Linked DNA regions of Caenorhabditis elegans. The protein of the gene in region 1 purifies or fractionates together with the protein of each later gene. This does not show direct contact. Each region holds a gene or a part of one and is shown on either strand. Other genes may lie near its edges. The genes, in order: fbxa-140, T03F7.7 and Y52B11A.10.

Region 1 (6,477 bases):
CGGTGTCGGGCAGTTGGTGGCAAATCTGAAAGAGAAGGGAACAAATTTTGTTCTTTTGAAGAAGACTCCACAGATACTTGAATTGCAGACAATTTTGAAAGATAGGTATGAAGTTTGACTGGGAATAGACTGAAGCCTCAAACATTTTATGGGTGAAAATTTAAAGAAAGGGGCTGAAAACTCATATTTCCAAGCTCTTTTTCCAGATTTTGCGGAAAAATTAACGATTTTCGGTATTTTTGCCGGAAAAACTTGTTGATTTTAAATAAACTCCTTTTTTGCCTTAAAAAGCGATTTTCTTGGAATTTAGATTTTAAAAATCCGTTAATTCACAAATTTTCGGGTCAGAAACGGCATTTTAAGCGATTTTGCCAGTAAATTAGGAGAAAAATAGAAAACGTTTTCATTTTTTGGCCTTTTTGCCGTGAAATTAACTGAAATTTTGATTAAAAAACGTTTTTTTTTGTTAGAAAACATGAATATATTTATTTATATAAATGAATTTTTCAAGGATTTTCTCGGATTTTGAGTCAAAATTCCGATATTTTCATAAATTTCCGGGTCCGAAACGGTATTTTTCGTGATTTCCTCGCAATTTTAGAAGTTTTCCTTGTAAAAATTGGTTGAGGCTCAGAGAATCTTGTAGTTTGTAGTTTGTAGCCCCATAGCCTCAACCATCTTCCAATTTCCAGATCAACAAATCACTCGGATTTCGTATTCAACGCGGATCGTCTGATGCGGCTTGTAATTGAAGAATGTCTCAATCATCTTCCATTCACTGAGCACACAGTTACCACACCAACAGGCTTCAAATATGAAGGAATTCAATTTAATCGTGGAAATTGTGGAGTATCGTTGTGTAGAAGTGGAGAGGCGATGGAAGTTTCATTGAGACAGTGTTGTCGGTGTATTCGAATTGGAAAAATTCTGATTGGTACGGGAAATTGAGGATATCGAGAGGAATTTGGGAAATTTCCTAGAAAAGGCGAAGAAAATTGAGAAATATAGAAGAAAATGGCGAAAAATCACCAAAATCATTGCGATTTTCATCAATTTCTCCCTGAAATTACCTGGAATCTCTTATAAATGCAGATTTCTGCTTGAAAAATGGAAAAATCTGGTGAATATCCAGTTTTTATAGATTTTCTCCTGAATACCCCTCAAAATCTGTGAAAAGTCTGACTTTTCCTTCAAAAATACCTCTAATTCGTAGAGAAACTCGTTTTTTCAGCCGAAAAATGTTTTTTTTTTTAAATCTGTAATAAATATGTACTGTTCTTATGGTAAAATTCCTGAAAAATATATTAAAAATATATATAATAGTAAAATTTGCGTTTTTACCCAGAAAAGTGGTAGAAATCGTGAGTTTTACTGAGTTTGTCGAAAACTGGCGATACTTTTTTAAAAGAAAAACCTCAAAACTCGCAAAATTTCCAATTTTCATCCACTTTTTGTTACAGGCGACGAACAAAAAGTGCTCTACGCCAGGCTTCTTCCGGATATCACGTCGCGTCGAGTTCTACTGCTCTACCCAACGATAGGGTACGCTCAGAGACTACAAACTACAAAAAATATCTGGCCGAAATAAATTTGATTGAAAAATCTGAGAAAAAAAACACAAAATTTAATGTCAAAAAATCGATTTTCCCGGCGAAAAATCGTAAAATTCAATAATTTGTTTGACGTAGAAACTTTAAAAATGTCGATCACTAAAACTTCCCCAGAAGGCGAAAAATTGTCTAAAAAATTGAGTTTTTTTTTGTGCAAAAAAAATCTTTTTTTGAAATTTTTTTAACTGAAGAAACATTTAAATTTAAAAAATCACATTTTTATCAAAATTTCCAATTTTTCAGATCTGGGACGACAGTTTGCAAGGCAATTGAAGTCCTAAAAGAGGCACGTGTCCCAGATGAGAATATCTACTTGGTTTCCCTATTCATCTCACCGACTGGACTCAAGAATATAACCAGAAAGTACCCGTATATCACTGTCGTCGCCTCCGATATCACATCTCTCTATCCAAATCATTTCTCAACCAGCTATTTTGGTGCTGTCTAGACTAGTTTTGTGTAGTTTGTAGCCTTTTGACACTACAAACTACATCGTTTCCGTTTCAAATGCAGTATTTTTATTCACTTTTCTCACTTGATCATCTCTTCATTTCTCGTTATTGGTTTGTAGTTTGTAGTTATTGTAGTCTTCTTTTTTACTTTTTCACTGTTGATTTCCCCTATTTTTTTTTGACAAAATGTTCATTGAATTTCCGCATAACTAAATTCTTTTGTGTTGTTTTCGGTTCATTAAACATTATTTTAAGATGCAATGACTACGGTAGTCATTTTCTGAGTACATGGTGTGCGTACAGGGCGCTATATTTTACGCGCAAAGTTGAGAGTGAGATTTTTCCTCATTTTTTGGATTTTCACTGCAAATTTAAGAAATTTTACGAAAATAAACGTTTTATTTCAAATTCTATTTGCTACTTTGCATGCAAATTGTTTTTTTTTCATTATATTCTGAAAATAAAATAAGTTAAAATTAGCCGTTTCAAAAAAAGTTTCCGAAACTACGGTAGTTCTCGGAGTACGCAACTTGCGTACCGGGCATCTCATTTGACGCACAGAATTCCTAGTTTATTGTTTTTGGATTTTCAAAATTTCAAACATAGTTTTTGCATTTTTCCTGTCGTTTTTGTGATTTTTATTTGTGAAAATTTATTAGACAGAAAAGAAATTTTCAGTTTTCACGAAATTTACTGGAAAATTTGTTATTTTACCGTTAGGTAACGTATTTTACAAAGATATTTCACTTTATCCGTATTTTCTTATTGTTTTCTTCACTTCAAACGATTGAAAACTGAATCAATCAAATAAATTTCCTATTTTTCAGGTAATTTGTCAAAATGACTGGCTCATCTCGTGGAATTGTCGAAATGACAAAGAAACTGGATCGATTAAATTGTTAGTGTTAAAATGAAATTTGCATCGGATTCAGTTTAAAATTTGCTTATTTTCAGATCGAAGAAAAGACCACTTACGCTTTTAAGCATGCCAGTTGATGTTATGGAGAAAGTTATGAAGAAAGTGGATCCATACGATTGGTATCAAATTTTGAATGTTAGGCAAATGTTAAAAAAAAACCAAATGAGTTTCAGGATTTCCGTCCGCAATTCCAATCGAAATCTTCGAGATTTCGTCGACAGCCAGCACCTCAAATTGGACATTGATGTTTCTATTGAGGGCACTTTTCACACCATTGATATCAATGGAAATCAATCCTTCGGACCTTTCCATCCGGTCGTGGCTGATGATGAAAGAAGAACCATCTACAATAAAAGACTACAGTTTGCTCTCAGAAAATTGTTCGTGGTTATGAAGCTTCCAAGTGCCCAAATTGAAGAGTTCAAACTGGATTTTGACTTTATGGGAAGAGGAAGTGACGAATTTGAAGATATCTACGATATTGGTTCCAGAAGAGTTAGTTTTAAAAATAAACTGTTGAGTGCAAGCCTGAGAACAATCGATAAGGAGTTTGGAGAGTTTCACTGTTTCCAAGCGAAATCAGTTTCTCTGAGTGGACTAAAGGAACCTCGAACTGTGCTCATTCTCAAATCTTTCAAGTCTGGAACTCTCGAGAACATTGAAATCATTAATTCCTACAAGTTCTACTTCAGTTGGCAGCTGACGCTTTCGGAGCAGTGGAAGAATGCGAAAAAACTGAAAACTGGACTTTCCACTGATCGCTACACCGGAATTCGAGTTGCTGAACTGTTCGCATTTTCAAATATCGAATTCACAACTGTAGTATTGTCATCTGATTTGAAAGTGGTATAGAAATTCTTAATTATTGATTAATTAATTTTAGATTTTTTTTCAGTTGGTTGATTCGTCTGCAAAGCTGGAAACTTGTCTCAGCAGGAACACGTATGACAGCGAGGATGACAGCGATGAAGATAGTGATGAAGACAGCGATGATGAGGACAATAGTGGAGTGTTAACGGTGTCAAAAGAAGTGCTCAAAGTGTTCGATCCGAACTTTGTTGGCTATAACGGAACAATCAATTACAAAGCAAATGGATTCGAATATCTCATTGAAGTCACTGAATTCGAAACTAAAATTGTGAAGAAAATCGAATAATCTTCTCATTTTTCAAAATTTGCTTTTGTTTTACTAGTCACATGAATTCTTATTTTGTTACTTTTTTTGTTTTGAAACTGATTAAACCAATAATTTGGGTTACGGCTGAATGTTACCTTCCGTTTAATATTTTGTAATCTTCCCAGTTTTTCTATATTTTAAAAGGAATTCTCGAATAGTTAACAAAGATCCTTTTCCAAACTACGGTAACTCTCAGAGTACGCAGTATGCGTACCGGGCATCTCATTTGACGCACAAAAATTCTAAATTTTTTTTTGAATTTTCAAATGTGGTTTATGCGTTTTTCTAACCAATTTTTTGTGATTTTTCCCCTGAAAATGATTTAAAATAAGTAAAATAACCTGTTTTTGTAAAAATTAATTTCGTTTTTACACATTGAACGTGATTTTCTATATTTACTCAAATTAATTTTTTTCAGGTAATTCGTCGACATGACTAGCCAAAGAGCAGAAATTGGTGAAACGACGGACAAGCAGAATTCCATGAAATTGTTAGTTATTTAGGCTACAATAATTTCAAATAACTTTTTTAAAACACATTTTCAGATCGAAGACAAGCTCGCCGACGCTTTTTGACTTGCCTCTGAATATTATGAAGAAAATTGTGAAGAAACTGCATCCATACGATTGGTAAGATCAAATAAATAAAAATTATATTTTTAGAAAGTATAATAAAAATATTTTCAGGATTTCCGTTCGCAATTCCAATGGAAATCTTCGAAGCTTCATCGACACCTTGAAACTGGATTTGGACATTGATATTTTTATTGAGGGCCATAGGTACACCATTGTTCTCAATGGAAAATCATTTCGTTATCGGTATAGATTTGTGCCTTATGATGAAATAAGCAACGCTCGCAATGAACCTTTCCATCCGGTCGTGGCTGATGATGAAAGAAGAACCATCTACAATAAAGGACTACAGTTTGCTCTCAGAAAATTGTTCAATGTCATGAAGCTTCCAAAAGCTCAGATTGAGAAGTTCAGTCTAGATTTCGACTCAATTGGAGGATATGAAGACTATGTCCACAATGAACGGTTGAGGTCAAGCCTGAGAACAATCGATATGGAGTTTGGAGATGCTCACTGTTTCCGAGCGAAATCAGTTTCTCTGAGTGGATTCAAGAAACCACGAGCTGCGCTAATTCTCAGTTCTTTCGATGCTGGAACACTTGTGAAATTTGAGATTATGCGTTGCATCTTCAACGATATTCGTCCACTAACTTGCTTGGAACAGTTTAAAAATGCAAAACAATTGCGAACTGATCTTAACATTTGCTCCGTCTTTGGATTTACTGTGTCGGATCTTCTTGGATTTTCAAGTATTGAATTCACCAGTCCAGAGGTATCGCCAAATGATCTGAAAGAGGTATAGCAATAATCAATTTTTAGTTGATTTAATTAAAATTCTTTCAGTTGGTAAATTCGTCTACAAAGCTGGAAACTTGTGTCGTCAGCAAGCAATTAGATGATAGTGAATCAATTGCAGAAGAAATGCTCCAAGAGTTTGATCCTACCTTCGCTGGCAAAACCGGAACCATCAATTACAAGGCAAATGGATTTGAATATGTCATTGAAGTCACTGAAGAGCGAGTGAAAATTGAGAAGAAACTCGGCTGATTATTTAATTTTAATTTTTGTTTTTTGGTTTTTCAAAAATTGTTGTTTAATTTATTGTTGTTCATCTCGTTCTCATGAATTTGCTTTTGTCATTTTTCTTTGATCAACACTGGAAGGCTAATAGACTACAAACTAGACATTTTATAAGCCTAAGCCAAGAAAGTACATTGAAAAAACGTCGCTTCCGGTAAAGAAAATAAATCAACCGAAAGCGAAACTTGACTTTTTTTTGAAAATTATTTATGGAAAGTTCATGTTTTTAGTCGTTTTAGTGAAAAAATTTAAAAAAAAAAATTAAAAAAAAAAAAAAAATCAAGTGCTTAAATAAATTATATATTTTTGAAAAGAAAAATGAATTTATTCCTGCTCTAAGCTACAAATTTGTCATATTTTGAACCTTTCTTCTAGAAATTTTAGCTGAAAGTGAAGAATATACTAGCAAAAATTGTAAATTAATTTTTTAAAAACGTTTTTAGAAATTTTAAATTTTTTCACAAAAAAAAAATTTCCCAAAGTGTTTTTTCAAAATTCAAATTTTAATTTTATTACAAGCCCAAAACGTGTAACGAGTTCTATAACAATGATCTGGACCGCAAAATATGTCATTTTTGCAGCTATTTACACATCCCTTCGATGCACCATGGGGGCTCATTGCTCCAGTCATTGGCTATTTGGATACTATTAATAATAATACAAATAC
Region 2 (7,634 bases), on another chromosome or scaffold:
CAGTTCGGTGTATTCCATGCATGATCACAGTTCTTCCAAGGAACATCAGACATTGTAAATGAGTTATAAAGATAGGTCGCAGCCCAGGAAAGAACGACAATGTAGTAGATGTTGAGCCAAAAAGCCATCACAGCTGCAGCGATACCAACGCCTATAATTATATAACTATGTCACAGTTTCTTCAAATTTTCAGAATAATTTTGAAAATAATTGTATAGGCATTTAGTGACAACGTCTTTGCCAAATTGGGCTAAAAACATAAGCTTGGTTCAAAAGGCACACAATGGAGAAAAGGTAGGCAAATCTTGGGGATCAAGTTTACATCTATTGGACCAACTTGGTCGATAGATTGGCTATAAATTCCAAGATGTCGAAACATTCTATCAGTTCAATGTTTTCTTGCTATCTAACAACTGTTCATTTCTTGTTTTTTTTTGTCTCGTACCTTTGAAAATAGGGCAAATTTTGAACATTCCAAGTCCTCCGACAGACATGAGTTGTCCCCATGATGTTTCCAGAATGAATAGAGGTGCTCCGCAGAAGACCAATGAGATGCAATATGGAATGAGAAACGCGCCTGCAAATTGTGATTTATGATTGAGAAAAGAGCACAGGGTATCTATGAGCATCAGACGGGACATGACACGGGAAGGGCAGCATTTCCCGAGTGACAAATTGCGTGGCGGAAAGCCCATCCAATGACTGACAATTTGTCCGATTGCTTCCCATCCGATCGTTTCTCTTCTTCCAAAAGATTGTCTCCCCAAATTTTCACACCCTCCCCGCACAAGCTGTTTCGACCTTCCTATTAATCTTATAGACAACACACAAAATGAGTATTGAAAAGATGATTGACGAGGGTATAGGAAAACGAAAAGAAAGAAAGAACTAATCTTTGAGCAGCCTGCGGATCAAGTTTCGGGGGAATTTCTCTCTGGTACCCCAGTTATTATTGATATTTTGACAAACTGACACACGGCAACCCACCTCCTCCGTTCTGGTAACAAAGATATGGAAAACGCCAGACGTTACCAAGACCGATTGCGTAACCGATGCAACTCATAATAAAGTCGGCCCACGAGGACCATTGTTCTCTTTCAGCCACTGATGTGGCTTCTACCATAATTACCTGCAATTATTTTCAATTAAAAATATATAAATAATTTTAATATCGGAGATATCTGCATATAACGATGCGAAATTGAAAAAAAAACATGCGAAATTAAAAATTGAAAAATCGATATTGAGAAAAAATAACACAGACATGTACTTGTTGAATTATATTTATTTATAGCAAAACTATCATAAAACCACTGAGAAATAAAGAATTTAAAAAAATTAGTCTGCATGCATCAAAGTACGAAATTTTCAAACCCTGGAGATTCCCTAATACTTCGAGAAAACCAAATTCTAATCAATAAAATGAATTTCAAATGAGATTAGGTATCCCTCTGTTATACATTTCAATGATAGAAAGTGCATTTTAATTGCAAGAGCATGCAGACGAATGTCCTGCAGAAATCTTAACCAGAAACTACCACTAGCACAGTGTCCCTTATTCATTTACAGAATCAGCTCACTAGAAAAAAAACGAGAGGACCAATAGGCTTTTTGACAGGCAGGGGTGGTGAGAAGAAGAGTAGTTTGCGGCTTCGTTGACATAAACAAAGACAAGAATCACACACTCGGAAAAATTGAAGAAAGAAGAACCAATGGGCGGGGTGGATGAGGTTGTAGTGGCACATGAAAGTGCTTTGGGCTTCGCCACGACTGATGTAGATGATGATGATGATGATGAGGAAGATAGAACCCTCAAGATAGGAAGAGAAAGTGACAAGAGGGGGAGCAGAGGGCGGCGCGGGAGCACACAGCTGCTATTTTCCCCTGCAGGAGATTTCTGGATACAAAAAAGAGATTAAGAGTGAAATAGCAAGAGTTTGTTTAGAACCCGGTTCCCTATCACGTGGGTCGTGACCCAGCTTTTATGTGGGTTGTTCTGATAAAAATACTGAGTCATGGAAGAAACATTCCTGAAAATCCTAAATTTTGCCAAATTCCGGATACTTAATGGGTTATGATGCACGCTGCATACTTATTCGGGAAAAGCATAAATGTAGAGAAAAAGAGACATAAAAGACTTAAAGTGGACTATTTTGAAGTATCTCAATGGGACTTCTTTTGTAGAATTATTTGGAGACGAGTCGAACTCAAAGAATGTCCTAGATGAAAACGTTTGAAGATAAAACCAAAAAGATGAAAAGTGACTGATTGTGAAAGACAGATAATTACTAGGCCATTTAGAGAAATTTGCAAATCTGGAACAACTAGATTAAGAAAAAATTTTGTAGCTTGCCATAGATTTCATTCGGAGCATTAATTATGAGCTGAAATACTATCCTAGTGAGCGAATTTGTCCTAAATCAGTAATAAATTGAAATAGAACTGAAAAATATATTAAATCTATTTTAAATTGTAATGGATTCCAACAAAAATTACAGATCCTGAGACTTAACACTTAGTAACAAAACAATTAAAAATTTTCTTTTTTATTTCTCACTCCAAGTCATCAAAACTAAACATTTGGAGTCTTCTTCTTCCTCTTCTTCCAATATGCGGAATTCTTCTTCATTTTTGCTCAATTTTTATTCAAAAACGCCAGCATAAGTATGTGCTCATCCTTGAATAAATGAGGCAATTGAAGAAAGAAAAAAGAAAAAAAGTGAGTGGCGAATTCTGTTGGTGGTGGCACTGGGTGAAAGTGGTGAAAACCCCTTGAAGAGATGGAAAAGGGAGACGAAAATACGCCAATTTTTCATAAATGCTTATATTTTTGTGGTTGAGCAAGGGTGCGGACAAGAGAATACCCTGTGGAGCTTTGAATGAGATGTTTGGAAATGGTTTCAGATTTGTTCATACACGACATCACAATGAAGAAGAAAATATTGGGCTATAGAAGGACAAATTCTCTTGAGTAATGGATATCTTTAAATGAGATGGATGTGTGGTAATTTCCGGTACATTTTTTCAGATACAAACGATATAATTTGGACAGGGATGTTGTTAAAGACGTAGAGATATTATTGTAACAACTAGTACATGGAGATAATAAAATATCACGCAGAAAAAAATTACCAAAGCATGAAACGTCTACTTTAATCATCAACTAAAAATTTCCAGCAGCCGTATAACTGAATAAATGTTTTTTGATAAGCTACCTGAAAATACCGAACGGTTCATCCAATCTTATCCACTCTTATCTTCAAATGTATATTATGTGGATTAAATAATCCCGCGATTCATAAATACGAATTTATAATTGTTTTAAAAATGATTTTCCTCCTATTTTTTAATATTCCCCACTTGTGTAATACTTCAAATTCATTTTCCAAATTTTTGTACGTTCATCATTCTCTATTCCTTTACCCTTTTTCCACCTGATTCTTTTTTTCAATTAAACCTATCCCTTCCTCATCACAAGGTATTCAACAATCTGAAAAACAATCTGAAATTGTCTCCACCCATTGAATACAATTGTACGCTCATTCTCTTCAACTATTTCTTACAACAATTCATTCTTTACAAGCCGGGGCTTCAACTTTTATGTGTATGTGTGACTACCGTATTAAACGACACCTCTCTATTTCCCTTTGTTGACCATCTTGCTGCCATCTCTATTCCTGTTTACTTCTCTCTTACTAACCACCGACTATAGGAGACCGCGCACTACTAGTATAATCTAAAATTGTTCCTTTTTCGGTCTCACTTTTTTTCAACCTTTCTCTCTAGGTTCCATTCAACCTTGAGGTTTGGCATCTTCGCTTTTTTTCCAAAATTTTCTAAAATCACAAAACACGAAATTATTTTCTCTCGACCATCCTTCGCCGAATGTCTTGTATTTAACACGTCATATCACTACTGATCAAGTCCTCATTTTTTTCCATTGTGTTCGCCCCTTCTAGTGATAAAATGATAACATAACTATTATATGTATAATCACATAATCAATTGGTGATGACTGCTGATAACAGTTAAAACAGCACGACTTTCTTTTCCTGCATATTAATCTGAAAACCTGTCTCCATCAATCACTTTTTTTCATTTTTTAGGAGACCGCCTCCCACAGCCAGATTTATTTTTTAGACTGTCCCTTGCTATATACACGTTTTTTGTCGAAGAAATCACTCGTGAAACAACAAATTCAAAAATGATTGACGATATGATCACAGCGAAGAAATTCAGTGCAGACATTTTGGAAAAGGCTGAAAAATTAAAGTGAGTTTTTTTTTAATTTTTAGTTGACAATTTTCCGTTCCAGTGAATTTGACATTTAATTTGGGCAACGGCTACTAGTTTTTGACATTTTCAAATTGTTGACTTGCATTCCGATAAATCTATTGAGGATTTGAGAGTAATAAAAAGCAAAAAAAAAATTTCGGTTTTGGACGCCAATTTCCAACAACAACACCTGAAAACATTTAACCTGAAAACATTTTACAGCACATTTTTGTGAAAAACCATTTTTGAGAAAGTAATTTTTGCAGAGTTTCAATCCCATCCGTACCTGATAAAATCGATTCTCCATTCTTCTTTGCCAGATTTTTGAATGCAAATAATGGAGATGTGGAAAAGACACGCCAGAAAATTATACAGTTATTCGAACATCGTAAACTAATGGGATATGAAAAAATCAACGATCTCGATATTTTTACAACCGTAAATATTGGAAAGGATTGTTTTGAGGTGAGACTTCCCAACACTGGATAGAATTACACCTTTTGTTGTTTTTCAGAGATTCCATATTTCTCAACTTAACTATGAAGTCACATCAAAAAATCTTCATGTGTTTGTACAAAAAATGGAAGGAACTGATATCAAAGAAATTTTAAAAGTGATGCCATTGAGCTATGTTCTTCACTCATACTTTATGCTCCAAGAAAATTTTTCAAGAGCAATGGCACACACTGAAAGAAAGACAGGAAAAACATCTTCAGTCGTCTGTATTCTGGATTTGAAAGGATTAAATCTAATGGATTTCATGAATCCGTTGTCAGGACCTGCACAGTTGGCACGGCTCGTGGTGCAAGTTTGGGCAGAATATTTCAGCGAACACGTGAGTGTATAATTTCAGTTTTTACTTGAACAAAACGAGAAATTCAATATTTTAGTTGTGCAAGCTTCTTCTTATCAATCCACCTGGAATTATATCCGTCATGTGGCAAGTCACTAAACGACTCGTGGACCCTAATACAGTAGAAAAGTTAGCTTTCTTGAGCAACGTGGAAGATTTGAAAAAATATTTGGAGCCGGAGGCAATTCCAGTCGAATATGGAGGAACATATCGTGATGATACTGGATATGCAGATCCACCAGAAGGAGCATGTAAACAACCAAAGAGAATTACCAAAGAAGATTATAAACCACAAGAGTATATTTGGGTTAAAAACGGGATTCTCAAGGCACCGAAAGGAAAGAGTTACTCGATAAAAGCATTCCAGACATCAGAGTATATCATGTAAGTTATAAATTTAGAGGAAATCGAATTTTATTTGATGTTACTTACAATTAAATTTTTTTATGTTAGAGTATTTATTTATTAAAATGTTTTCATTTCATATAATTTTCATGAGAGAAAATTTCCAAAAATTGCCGATTCGCACAGAATCGTGAAAATTTTGTGCAAAAACTACAAAACCATTCACACCTTCTGAAACAATTCCGAGAAAATAATGTCCTTTTTCACAGAAAAACTACGACGGAAGGTAAACTGGTTTGGAATTACACAACCAGTGGAGACGTTGACTTCGAGATTGTTAAACGAGACGCTGGTAAAGAGATGGCTATCTGGCCGAAGATCACAGTTACAAGTCTTAAGGTTTGTTTCTTCCCTGTTTTGTTGAATTTGCACTAAAATGTATTTTCAGTTACCAGAGTTTGGCGAGAAACTTGTTGCACCGGGAGAGTATATTCTAAGGTTCAAAAATCCATCAAGTACGTGGTTCCCAGTGAAAGTCAATTGTGCTGCTGAAATTTTAAATGTGTAAATATGACAATTCATGTATTATTATCTTTATTATGAGAATGTTCTTACCGAACATAAAGACATTAAACAAATAAAAAATCAAAAAACCAAACACCCATATCAGATATTCTTTGTATCGAGGAAACGATTTCTGAGACAAATATAGATCACGAGTAGGAATTGAATTGAAATTATAATTACAGTTAAGGAAATTAGTGCAATCCAACGGTTCAATTGAAGGCAATAACCATCTAATTGGGTTGAGTCTACAATTGTTTGAACGAGAAGCTCGGCATGGACTTTTTCAGTATCTTCATTTCCAGTTAACGTTGTGTCCTCACTCTCATCAAAAGTTGTAAATCGGCGGTTACGTGATGGACAATTTGCCTGAAAATAGTATGAATAAACTCAGATTTTAGGAACAATGCCGTAGAGAGTTGATTAGAACTTTTGAACAAAAAACTAACAATATTGATAGTTGCGTTGTCCAACAAATTGTTGAAGATTATATTACCAAAATAATTTTTAATATTAACAAAAAATCTCACCTTTTTACACTTTTCACAGTACTTCACCTCACATTCAATCTTGACAGCCTCTCCCTGTTTAAACCGAAACGCTCGGAACGGTAATACGAATCCTGTAGCGGTCTCCTTAATCTCATCTCGTAAAACGTATTCCTTCGCATGTTGGGTAGCACATCTGACCATAAAGATTAATCCGAGGCATTTTGTTAGAATCCCATAAAACCAAGATAGAAAACCATCTGTCACATTTTTTCCCTTTACCGTGCAATCTCTTTCCTTCTCTCACATTCACCGCACTCTTGTCTGCCACCCTCTATGCAATTTCGGTGGTTTCACTTGTGGCCAAGTGGCAATCGTGTTGCCTCGGGACACGACACACCCGAGTTCAATTCCCGCCTGTGATGCTTTTCATGCGTGTCAGCTGAGATCCCCTGATTAGAACCACCCTTGAGGTTGTATTAACTGAGGCTATTTTTCGGTTTTTATACATAACTCACCCATTTTTAATCAAAATTATTTTCTCATCGCCATTTTGATCGTAAGCCGTGCATTTCTTCACAAAAACGTGACGAGCTGACGTTGAATTATCGACTGTGAAAACAAGATCAAGACTTTGACCGAGCTTCACTGTTCGAGCTTTAATAATTTCTCGTTTTCCGCGTAGTTCCATACTCATTGGTTTCACATTCACTTTTCCATAGATATCGAGTTTATTGAATTGTGTTGTTCTGAATTAAACATTTATTTCGCTGTTTTCAATATAATGTTTACCTTAAATTCATTGTTTTTGCCACTGCCACCGCATTTTTCTGATTCGAGTAATCACATCTCACTTTGAAAAGTTGATCATCGATCGTTATCACTGTTGCATTTCCCACACTTTCCACGTTCTGTGTTACAACAACTACAGTCTCGTAAATATCTCCGTTTTTAGTGATACAAGTTGTATCATTATGACGGATCTTTAGAATCGCTTCTCCATCCGTTCCAATTGTTTTTGAACAATTTGAGTGACCATTTCGAACGTAAATTTCTCCACCAACAAGATTGTGATTATCCGGGTTTCCAGGGGAAACTTTTACTGAAAT
Region 3 (7,975 bases), 1.9 Mb from region 1:
CCACGTTGAACTCAGAATTTGGAACTTATGGGACAAGCTTCACGGTGCTGCTAGGGCGAGGTGCAATTTTATGAGGAATGTTTTGAAAACTTTATAGTGTTTAGGCGTAAACTATGCAAATTGTCGTACAAAACTACTTTTTCTCATATTTTGGAACTTTTCTAGCAATCTAGGATATATTTTGAACAAGAAAGATCGTCTTCAAAAGTTAATTTTCACTAAAAATTCGATTGTTTCGTTTTTTCATTCTATTTAGGGTACAAAAGGTGGGCGGCAAAATATTTTTTCCGCCAAACCGGCAAATTGCCGGAATTGAAAATTTCCGACAAGATGTGGTTTTGCCCTTTTTTTTTTTTGGAAATGTCAGAATTTCAATTTCAAATGGCCAAATGAAACACATCCTATGAATACAATTCCTACATTTATTTCGATAAGTAAGCGAATTCTGTGAAAATAACTAGAAAAAACGGGAAAAACTTTAAAATGACACAATTTTAAGTGTTTCCGTCTTGTCAAAAATCCCTCAAGGCATTTCCGGCAAACCTGATAACCGGCAAATCGGCAATTTGTCGACAAATCAATTTGCCGAACGGCAATTGCCGCCCACCCCTGCTTTAAATTCAATTTTTTTGGGGTTTTCATTCTAATTTAATTAATTTCTGTGCTAATCACCTTAACAACAATCCCCTCTCTCATCCAATAATCCTTCCGATTCTTCCGCTCCTTTTTCCTCTCCTCCATCTCCTTAATCTCATCTAGCGCTGACTTTTTCGAGAATTTTTTGGCGGCCGGGCTCCGGCTCCGGGATCTCTTTTTACCACTTTTGCGTGATGGTTGTGATGGTCCCGGCTCATCCGGATCCTCTTTTTTGACTTTTGGCATATCGAAAATCGAGATTTTCGCCGACGCCACACCACTTTTAACGTCCAATTTCCGATCTAGAATCCCCAAATTTAAATCCAGCTGAATTTTCTGATCCGGAGTATCCCTGATGAGCTCTGTGGCTTCATATTCGTGCTCATCATCCCCGGCGAGCTCTTTTCCTCGTTGGACCATCCCGTCCATAATCTGCATATGACGCTCTTCGTCATCCTTCTCCTGTTGCTGTTTTCGTTGATCTTCTTCTTTTCGGATTAAGGCTTCTTGATCGATATATGCAATATACCATCCTTTATCACCTTCGTCGATTTTACATTTTCCAGATGATCCGAGATACTGGACGAAGCCTGTCAACGAGTGCCATACTGTAGAGTTCATGTGCACGTGACCCTGAAATTTGGTGATTGGTGGCTCCGAACGTAAGTCAGCGCCCTAGCAGAACCGATCAGCAGTCCTATAAGCTCAAAAATGCGGGTTCAGCTTGATTTTAAAGGTTTAAAACCTTGAAAATCAAGTTGAACTCGGGATTTTGAACTTATGGAACAAGCTTCATGGTGCTGCTAGGGCGAGGTGCAATTTTGAGGGAAAATTTAGAGAATTTGGAGCTTTTCGGCTCAAATTATTGGAATATGTTGTTGTAGTCCTTAGAAGGCTATAAACTGCAGATTGGGTTGAATTTTTCCGTTTTTCAGACAAAAATTTAACAAATTTCAAAATTTTAGGCTAATTTCAATTTTCAAAAACTACGAAATTGACCGCAAATTATTTAAAAATAAAAATTTCATGGATTTATGAAAATTTTAACAAAAATTAAATTTTTTAAAGGTTTTTTTTCGGAAAAACCTTTCCAAATGTTCCCAATTTGGTTGAGGCTCACAGACTACAAACTACAAAATTTTGCGGGAAACTGAATTTTTTCAAATATTTTACGTTAAAAATTCAATTCTGAACCTTAAAATCAAAATTGTTCCAATTTTTAGCGAAAAAAATAAATTTTCATTTTGGGTGAGGGTCAGAGACCCCTATGAGCTCCATTACAAACTACAAAATTTCTAGCCTCTACCAAAGTTTTTTGAGATAAATTTTACATTTTTCAGTTTAAAACTGGATTTTTTTGTTCAATTGTTCTGAATTTTGAATTCAAAAATGCAGTTTTACACTGAAAGTTTCGAAAAAATGGCAAAAATCCTTTTTAAATCTTGATTGAGGCTCACAGACTACAAACTACAACATTTTCAGCCTCACCAAACATTTCTCACTTGAAAACTGGATTTTTTTGTCCAATTTAACTGAATTTTCAATTCGAAAATGCAGTTTTACACTAAAAGTTGAGCAAAAAATACGAAATTTGGCCAAAAATCGTGAAAATCCTTTTAAAAATGGGCAAACTACAAACTACAACATTTTTCAGCCTCAACCAAATTCAAAAACTTGTTTTTAATGGTTTTTTGCCGATTTTAATGCATTTTTCGGCGTTTTTCCGGCAATTTCTTCAAGTTTTCTTGAAATTTCTCTTACCTTATCTTTAATAAACGCATTATACACCTCATTGGCACGAACTCGCTTCGTTCCGTACGAAGTTCGCAGCAACTGCATGAAATTCTTCTCAAAATCATTGGAAAACTGTCGGAGATAGGAATTCGAGTTCTCGGCAAAGAGCAAAAGTTGCCGTTGATGTGCTTCGGAAGTTAAGTGGCATTTGAAGCCGTTCGCGTCTCGACACTGCTTTTGGCACATTTGGCAGAAGCTGGAAATAATAATAATCATTTTTATTAATTTTTAACTGTTTAATTGAATATTTCGTTAATTTTAACTCAATTTAACCAGCAAAAACCGACAAAAATCGCTTAAAATTAATTATTTTTAAATTTTTACTTAAAAAGTGCCATACAATTTCAATTTTTGTAATCCTTTCGATTTTGTTCGATTTGCCAAGTCTTTTGAACTTCCTTTTTCGTGTTTTCCCATTTTTAAATCTGAAAAAATTAGGAATTTTAGGTGAAAAAGCTTGAAAAAGCTTGCAAACCAAAAAACTAAAGAAATAAATTCGAAAAACACGCGCTGTGGATTTACGGTAAACAACGCGCACTAGCGGGATTTCGGAGTGTCGTTGCAAATATTTATTTTTTTTTTTTTTCGATTAATCTTTTTCAGCGAATTTCGATGAATTTTTAACGAAAAACTTTAATTTTTTACTATTTCAGGGTAAAATGAAGCTTCCACTATTCAAAAAAGATGGAATGTCGCGGAAGGAACAACGAAAATCCGCGAAACAGCTCAAGAAAATGCAGGCAAAGGCATTTTCCCAGAGAACTCCGGTATATTTTGCGATTTTTTGCTTCAAAAATTCAATTTTCAGATAGAACAAGTGATGAGAGAGACGATGGGAATGACGAAAGAGGATAAAAAGAAGAGAAAACGGAAAAGACAGCTGGAAGCGAAGAAAGAGCAGAGAAAATTGGAATATCTGCAGAATAAAAATCGAAATGACGGGGATTCCGATGACGAGGAGGATATGGAAGATTCTGAAGACGAAGAAGAGGTTTTAGCATGATTTTTGTATAGAAATAACTCGAAAATTCCAGAAAAAGCCCACAAATCGCAAGGGAATCGTCGAAGTGAGCGTGAATAAGGGAAAACGGAAGTATGGTGATGATTCTGAGGATAGTGATGAGGATTTGACCTATGAACAGTATATGGAAGAGGTTCAGGTAGGAGAAAATGCGAAAAAAACGGAGAAAAACTGAAAAAACGGCTATTTTTGGCAGATTTTATCGATTTTTCGTCTGAAAATCGTGGAAAATGTAGCTTAAAACATTTAAAATTGCCAAAAAATACGAAAAAATGACGAGAAATCAAAGAAATCCTATAAAAATCGACTAAATATTGGTTGAGGCTCAGACTACAAACTACAACAATTCCTGAGCCTCAACCAACGAGAAAATTTAATTTTTAATATTTTTTACCCGAATTTTCTCTAATTTTTTAAGGTTTTTAGACTTAAAATCAAAGTAAATGTCGTTTAGGAATGTTGAAATGACAAAAAAAATGCGAAAAATTGCAAAAATTCAAGAAAAAACACAAAAAAGCTGATGAAATTCTAGTTGAGGCGCAGAGACTACAAACTACAATATCGTCTGAGCCTCAACCAACGGGAAAAGTTAATTTTTAATAGTTTTTTCTCGAATTTACTCGAATTTTGAAAGTTTTTTTTTTAACTCAAAAGCAAAGTAAATGCCGTTTAGGCTTGTTAAAATGATAAAAGTTGCGAAAAAATAGCAAAAATTCCTGAAAAACACTAAAAACAGATGAAATTCTGGTTGAGGCTCAGACTACAAACTACAATAACTCCTGAGCCTCAACCAACGAGAAAATTTATTTTTTAACAGTTTTTTTTTTCTGAATTGTCTCTAATTTTTAAAGTTTTTTGGGTTAAAATCGGTGGAGAAGTAGTTTATGCACGTTAAAATGACAGAAATTTCGAATAAAATTGCAAAAAATCGAGAAATAACACTAAAAACCGACGAAATTCAGATTTAAGGCTCAGACTACAAACTACAATATCGTTTGGGCCTCAACCAACCGAAAAAAAACTGATTTTTTGGTTTTTTCCTCCAATTTTTTAGACTTTTTTTGCTAAAATATAAACATTTAAAATGTGAAAAATTCAATTTTTCCACAGATTTTTTACAAATTCCCACTAAAAATCCAATTTTTAATGCAAAAATTGTCGATTTTCATCTATTTTCACTTCCAGACAGCGACAAAAAAGCGGCGACAAGAAGCCGACGGAACTGAGGAAGATGACGCCGCAATTCGTAAATATGGAGTACTTTTAGGTGTAAATGAGCAGAAAAAGGAGCGAGATGGCAAGCTAAAAGTACCGAAATCCATGAAAAGTGATGGATTGGATTGTGAGTTTGTAGTTTGTAGTCTTTAAAAGCTAGGAATTTACCTGAAAACCTGGAATTTACATAAAAATTTCGAATTTTCACTCAGAAATTTGAATTTTTACTGAAAAATTCCAACAAAAAAAATGGTTGATGCTAAACAGTTTGTAGTTTGTAGTCTGTGAGCCTCAATCAAGATTTAAAAAGGATTTTGAAGGCTGAAGTCTGCTTTTTTTTGCAATTTTTAAACAAGTTTCGTATTTTAATGAAATTTTCAGCGAAAAACTGCAGTTTCGACTTCAAAAGTTTGGAAAAATGGTTAAAAACCTAATTTTTAACTGAGAAAATGTGGTTGAGGCTGAAAAATGTGTAGTTTGTAGTCTGTGAGCCTCAACCAGTTTTTGAAATTATTTTTTGATGTTTTTTCGCCGTTTTTGGGTCATTTTCGATAATTTTTCAATTAAAAATACAAGAAAGTTGGCCAAAATCTTCATTTTTATCTAAAATTAACAAAAAAAAACCTCAATTTTCATTCAAAAATTAGACAGAAAAATGTCAAAAAAAATTTAAGTGAGGCTAAATATTTATTATTTTTATTTTTAATTTTAATTTTTTTTTTTTTTTATAAAAAAAAAATACAAGAAAGTTGGCCAAAATCTTCATTTTTATATAAAATTTTAATAAAAACTTGAATTTTCACTCTAAAATTCAAAATTTTCAGTACTTCTCGACTTTTGCGATTCGGAACGGCGTAAGGAGCTAATGGAAGATGAACTTGACGATGATAATATGGAAGATGAAGAAGAATTTGAAGATGAAGAGGATGAAGCTGATGAATCTGGAAATGAGCTAGATCTTTCTGAAGGAGAAGAGCCTGTGGAATCGGAGGATGATGAGGATATGGTAAATATTACTGGAAATATCTTGAAATACTGAAAAAACTGAAAAAAAAATGATTAAAATACACGATTCTAGGCTGAAATTCGACATTTTTAACGTAAAAAATCGGAACTTTGTTTTGAAAAAAAACATTTTCGAAAATTTTGACCAATTTTCCAGTTTTTACTCAAAAAATACTCCAAAATTGCACAAAAACCGCGAAAAACCATTAAAAAATCATTTCAAAATTTGGTTGAGGCTCACAGACTACAAACTACAAAATTCCTAGCCTCAACCATATTTTTTGTGATAAAAAATGACTTTTTTCAGTGAAAAATTGGGTTTTATGTTCGATTTTTTATTGAATTTTCAAATCGAAATTGCAGTTTTTCGCTGAAAAATCCATTAAAAATACAAAATTTATTCAAAAATTGCAAAAAAAAAGCTGAAATCTGCCGCAAAAATTCTTTGAAAATTGGTTGAGGCTAACAGACTACAAACTACAAAAAGTTTAGCCTCAACCAAATGAAAAAAGATATTTTTCAGTTAAAAAATGCGGTTTTTGTTCAATTTTTCTGAATTTTCAAAGAAAAAATGCATTTTTGCCCGTTTTTCCAAAATTTTAATTAAAAACTCAAACGTTCTGCCTTTTTTTTCGCAAAAAAATGCTCGAAATTGGCTCAAAAGTCCTCCAAAAAATGATAGAGGCTCACAGACTACAAACTACAAAATGTTTAGTCTCAACCATATTTTTTGTGATAAAAAAAACTTTTTTCACTTAAAAATTGAGTTTTATGTTCGATTTTTTTGAATTTTCAACTCGAAAATGCAGTTTTTCGCTGAAAATTTCATTACAAACAGAAAATTTGGTCAAGAACTGCAAAAAAAGCTGACTTCTGCCTCAAAAATTCTTTAAAAATTGGTTGAGGCTCACAGACTGCAAACTACAAAATTTCTAGCCTCAACCAAATGAAAAAAGGTATTTTTCAGTTAAAAAATCGTATTTTTCTTCAATTTTCAAAATTTTTAAGTATAAAAATTCAGTTTTTCCCAAAAAGTTTAAAAATTTTAATTAAAAACTCAAACGTTCTGCCTTTTTTTTCGCAAAAAAATGCTCGAAATTGGCTCAAAAGTCCTCCAAAAAATGATAGAGGCTCACAGACTACAAACTACAAAATGTTTAGTCTCAACCATATTTTTTGTGATAAAAAAAACTTTTTTCACTTAAAAATTGAGTTTTATGTTCGATTTTTTTGAATTTTCAACTCGAAAATGCAGTTTTTCGCTGAAAATTTCATTACAAACAGAAAATTTGGTCAAGAACTGCAAAAAAAGCTGACTTCTGCCTCAAAAATTCTTTAAAAATTGGTTGAGGCTCACAGACTGCAAACTACAAAATTTCTAGCCTCAACCAATGGAAAATAAAAATATTTTCTGTTAATTTTTTTTTCAGAAATGCTCAAAATTGGCAAACAAAAAGTTGTTATTCTTTGATTTTTCCATTGAAAATTGCAGTTTTTCGCTTAAAATTTCATTAAAAAACGATAAAAATTTGTCAAAAATTTCAATTTTTCAGGTGGACGAAATGATGTCAGACGAGGAAGATAACGTGGATGATGAGAAAATCGTGGAAATTTCGGATTCGGAAATTGAAACCTCCGCACCTAAAAAATCCGAAGAAACTGAAGATATTTATGGTCGAAAAATCAATAAGTCCACCGGAGAACTCATCAAATTCGATCCGGCGGCGGCGCGGAAAAAGCTCGAGGAGCTCGATGCCACGTCATCAACCGGAGAGCAGAAGCAACGAGTTGAACGGGCGGTTAATAGTATTATTAATAAGCTTTCCGACGCAATGCTCATCAAATCTCAGCAGGGAATCGCTGAATTATGGGCGAATAGCTCGAAAAATGGTAATTTTTAGGCTGAAAATGTTGAAAAATTGCAGAAAAAGTAGGGAAAATCAATAAAATTTCCTGAAAAATGCCGCAAAAATTGAAGAAAAACCGTATTTTCTGGCTAATTTTCCTTAAAAAAAAATGCGAGAAAAACCACAAGAAATTGGTTGAGGCCCACGACTACAAACTACAAAATTTCTAGCCTTAACCATATTTTTTGGTGATAAAAATGTAATTTTTTTCATTGAAAATTTGTTTTTTAATCCATTTTTCCCAAATTTTCATGTCTAAAATATAGTTTTAGAAAATTCAAAAAAAAAACATTTTTTTTAACGTTAAAAACAACCAAATAATCGATTTTTTGTAGGTTAAGGGTCAGAAAAACATGTAGTTTGTAGTCTAAAATGATATTTTCAGCTAAAAATATGA

What was found.
Region 2: the proteins of fbxa-140 (region 1) and T03F7.7 fractionate together in Caenorhabditis elegans (co-fractionation; one large-scale study listed by BioGRID). This does not show direct contact.
Region 3: the proteins of fbxa-140 (region 1) and Y52B11A.10 fractionate together in Caenorhabditis elegans (co-fractionation; one large-scale study listed by BioGRID). This does not show direct contact.

What each region holds. Positions count from the first base shown.
Region 1 is NC_003279.8:12,958,032-12,964,508, reverse strand, and holds fbxa-140 (F-box domain-containing protein), read left to right. Parts: upstream 1-2,889; 5' UTR 2,890-2,960; intron 2,961-3,016; 5' UTR 3,017-3,047; coding exon 3,048-3,100; intron 3,101-3,154; coding exon 3,155-3,827; intron 3,828-3,876; coding exon 3,877-4,137; 3' UTR 4,138-4,196; downstream 4,197-6,477. Other genes in the region: C47B2.2 (Phosphoribosyltransferase domain-containing protein), read left to right, coding at 1-105, 693-934, 1,461-1,542, 1,854-2,058; fbxa-101 (DUF38 domain-containing protein), read left to right, coding at 4,590-4,648, 4,704-4,787, 4,845-5,526, 5,574-5,777.
Region 2 is NC_003283.11:11,307,318-11,314,951, forward strand, and holds T03F7.7 (CRAL-TRIO domain-containing protein), read left to right. Parts: upstream 1-4,104; 5' UTR 4,105-4,204; coding exon 4,205-4,272; intron 4,273-4,541; coding exon 4,542-4,740; intron 4,741-4,789; coding exon 4,790-5,110; intron 5,111-5,165; coding exon 5,166-5,512; intron 5,513-5,742; coding exon 5,743-5,872; intron 5,873-5,921; coding exon 5,922-6,041; 3' UTR 6,042-6,128; downstream 6,129-7,634. Other genes in the region: snf-11 (Transporter), read right to left, coding at 1-151, 446-577, 988-1,123; cutl-18 (CUTiclin-Like), read right to left, coding at 6,140-6,406, 6,568-6,721, 7,044-7,274, 7,318-7,634.
Region 3 is NC_003279.8:11,035,973-11,043,947, forward strand, and holds the start of Y52B11A.10 (MI domain-containing protein), read left to right. Parts: upstream 1-3,083; 5' UTR 3,084-3,089; coding exon 3,090-3,197; intron 3,198-3,238; coding exon 3,239-3,421; intron 3,422-3,464; coding exon 3,465-3,590; intron 3,591-4,636; coding exon 4,637-4,793; intron 4,794-5,490; coding exon 5,491-5,672; intron 5,673-7,224; coding exon 7,225-7,561; intron 7,562-7,975. Other genes in the region: dxbp-1 (DNA/RNA-binding protein Kin17 WH-like domain-containing protein), read right to left, coding at 673-1,269, 2,398-2,626, 2,771-2,847.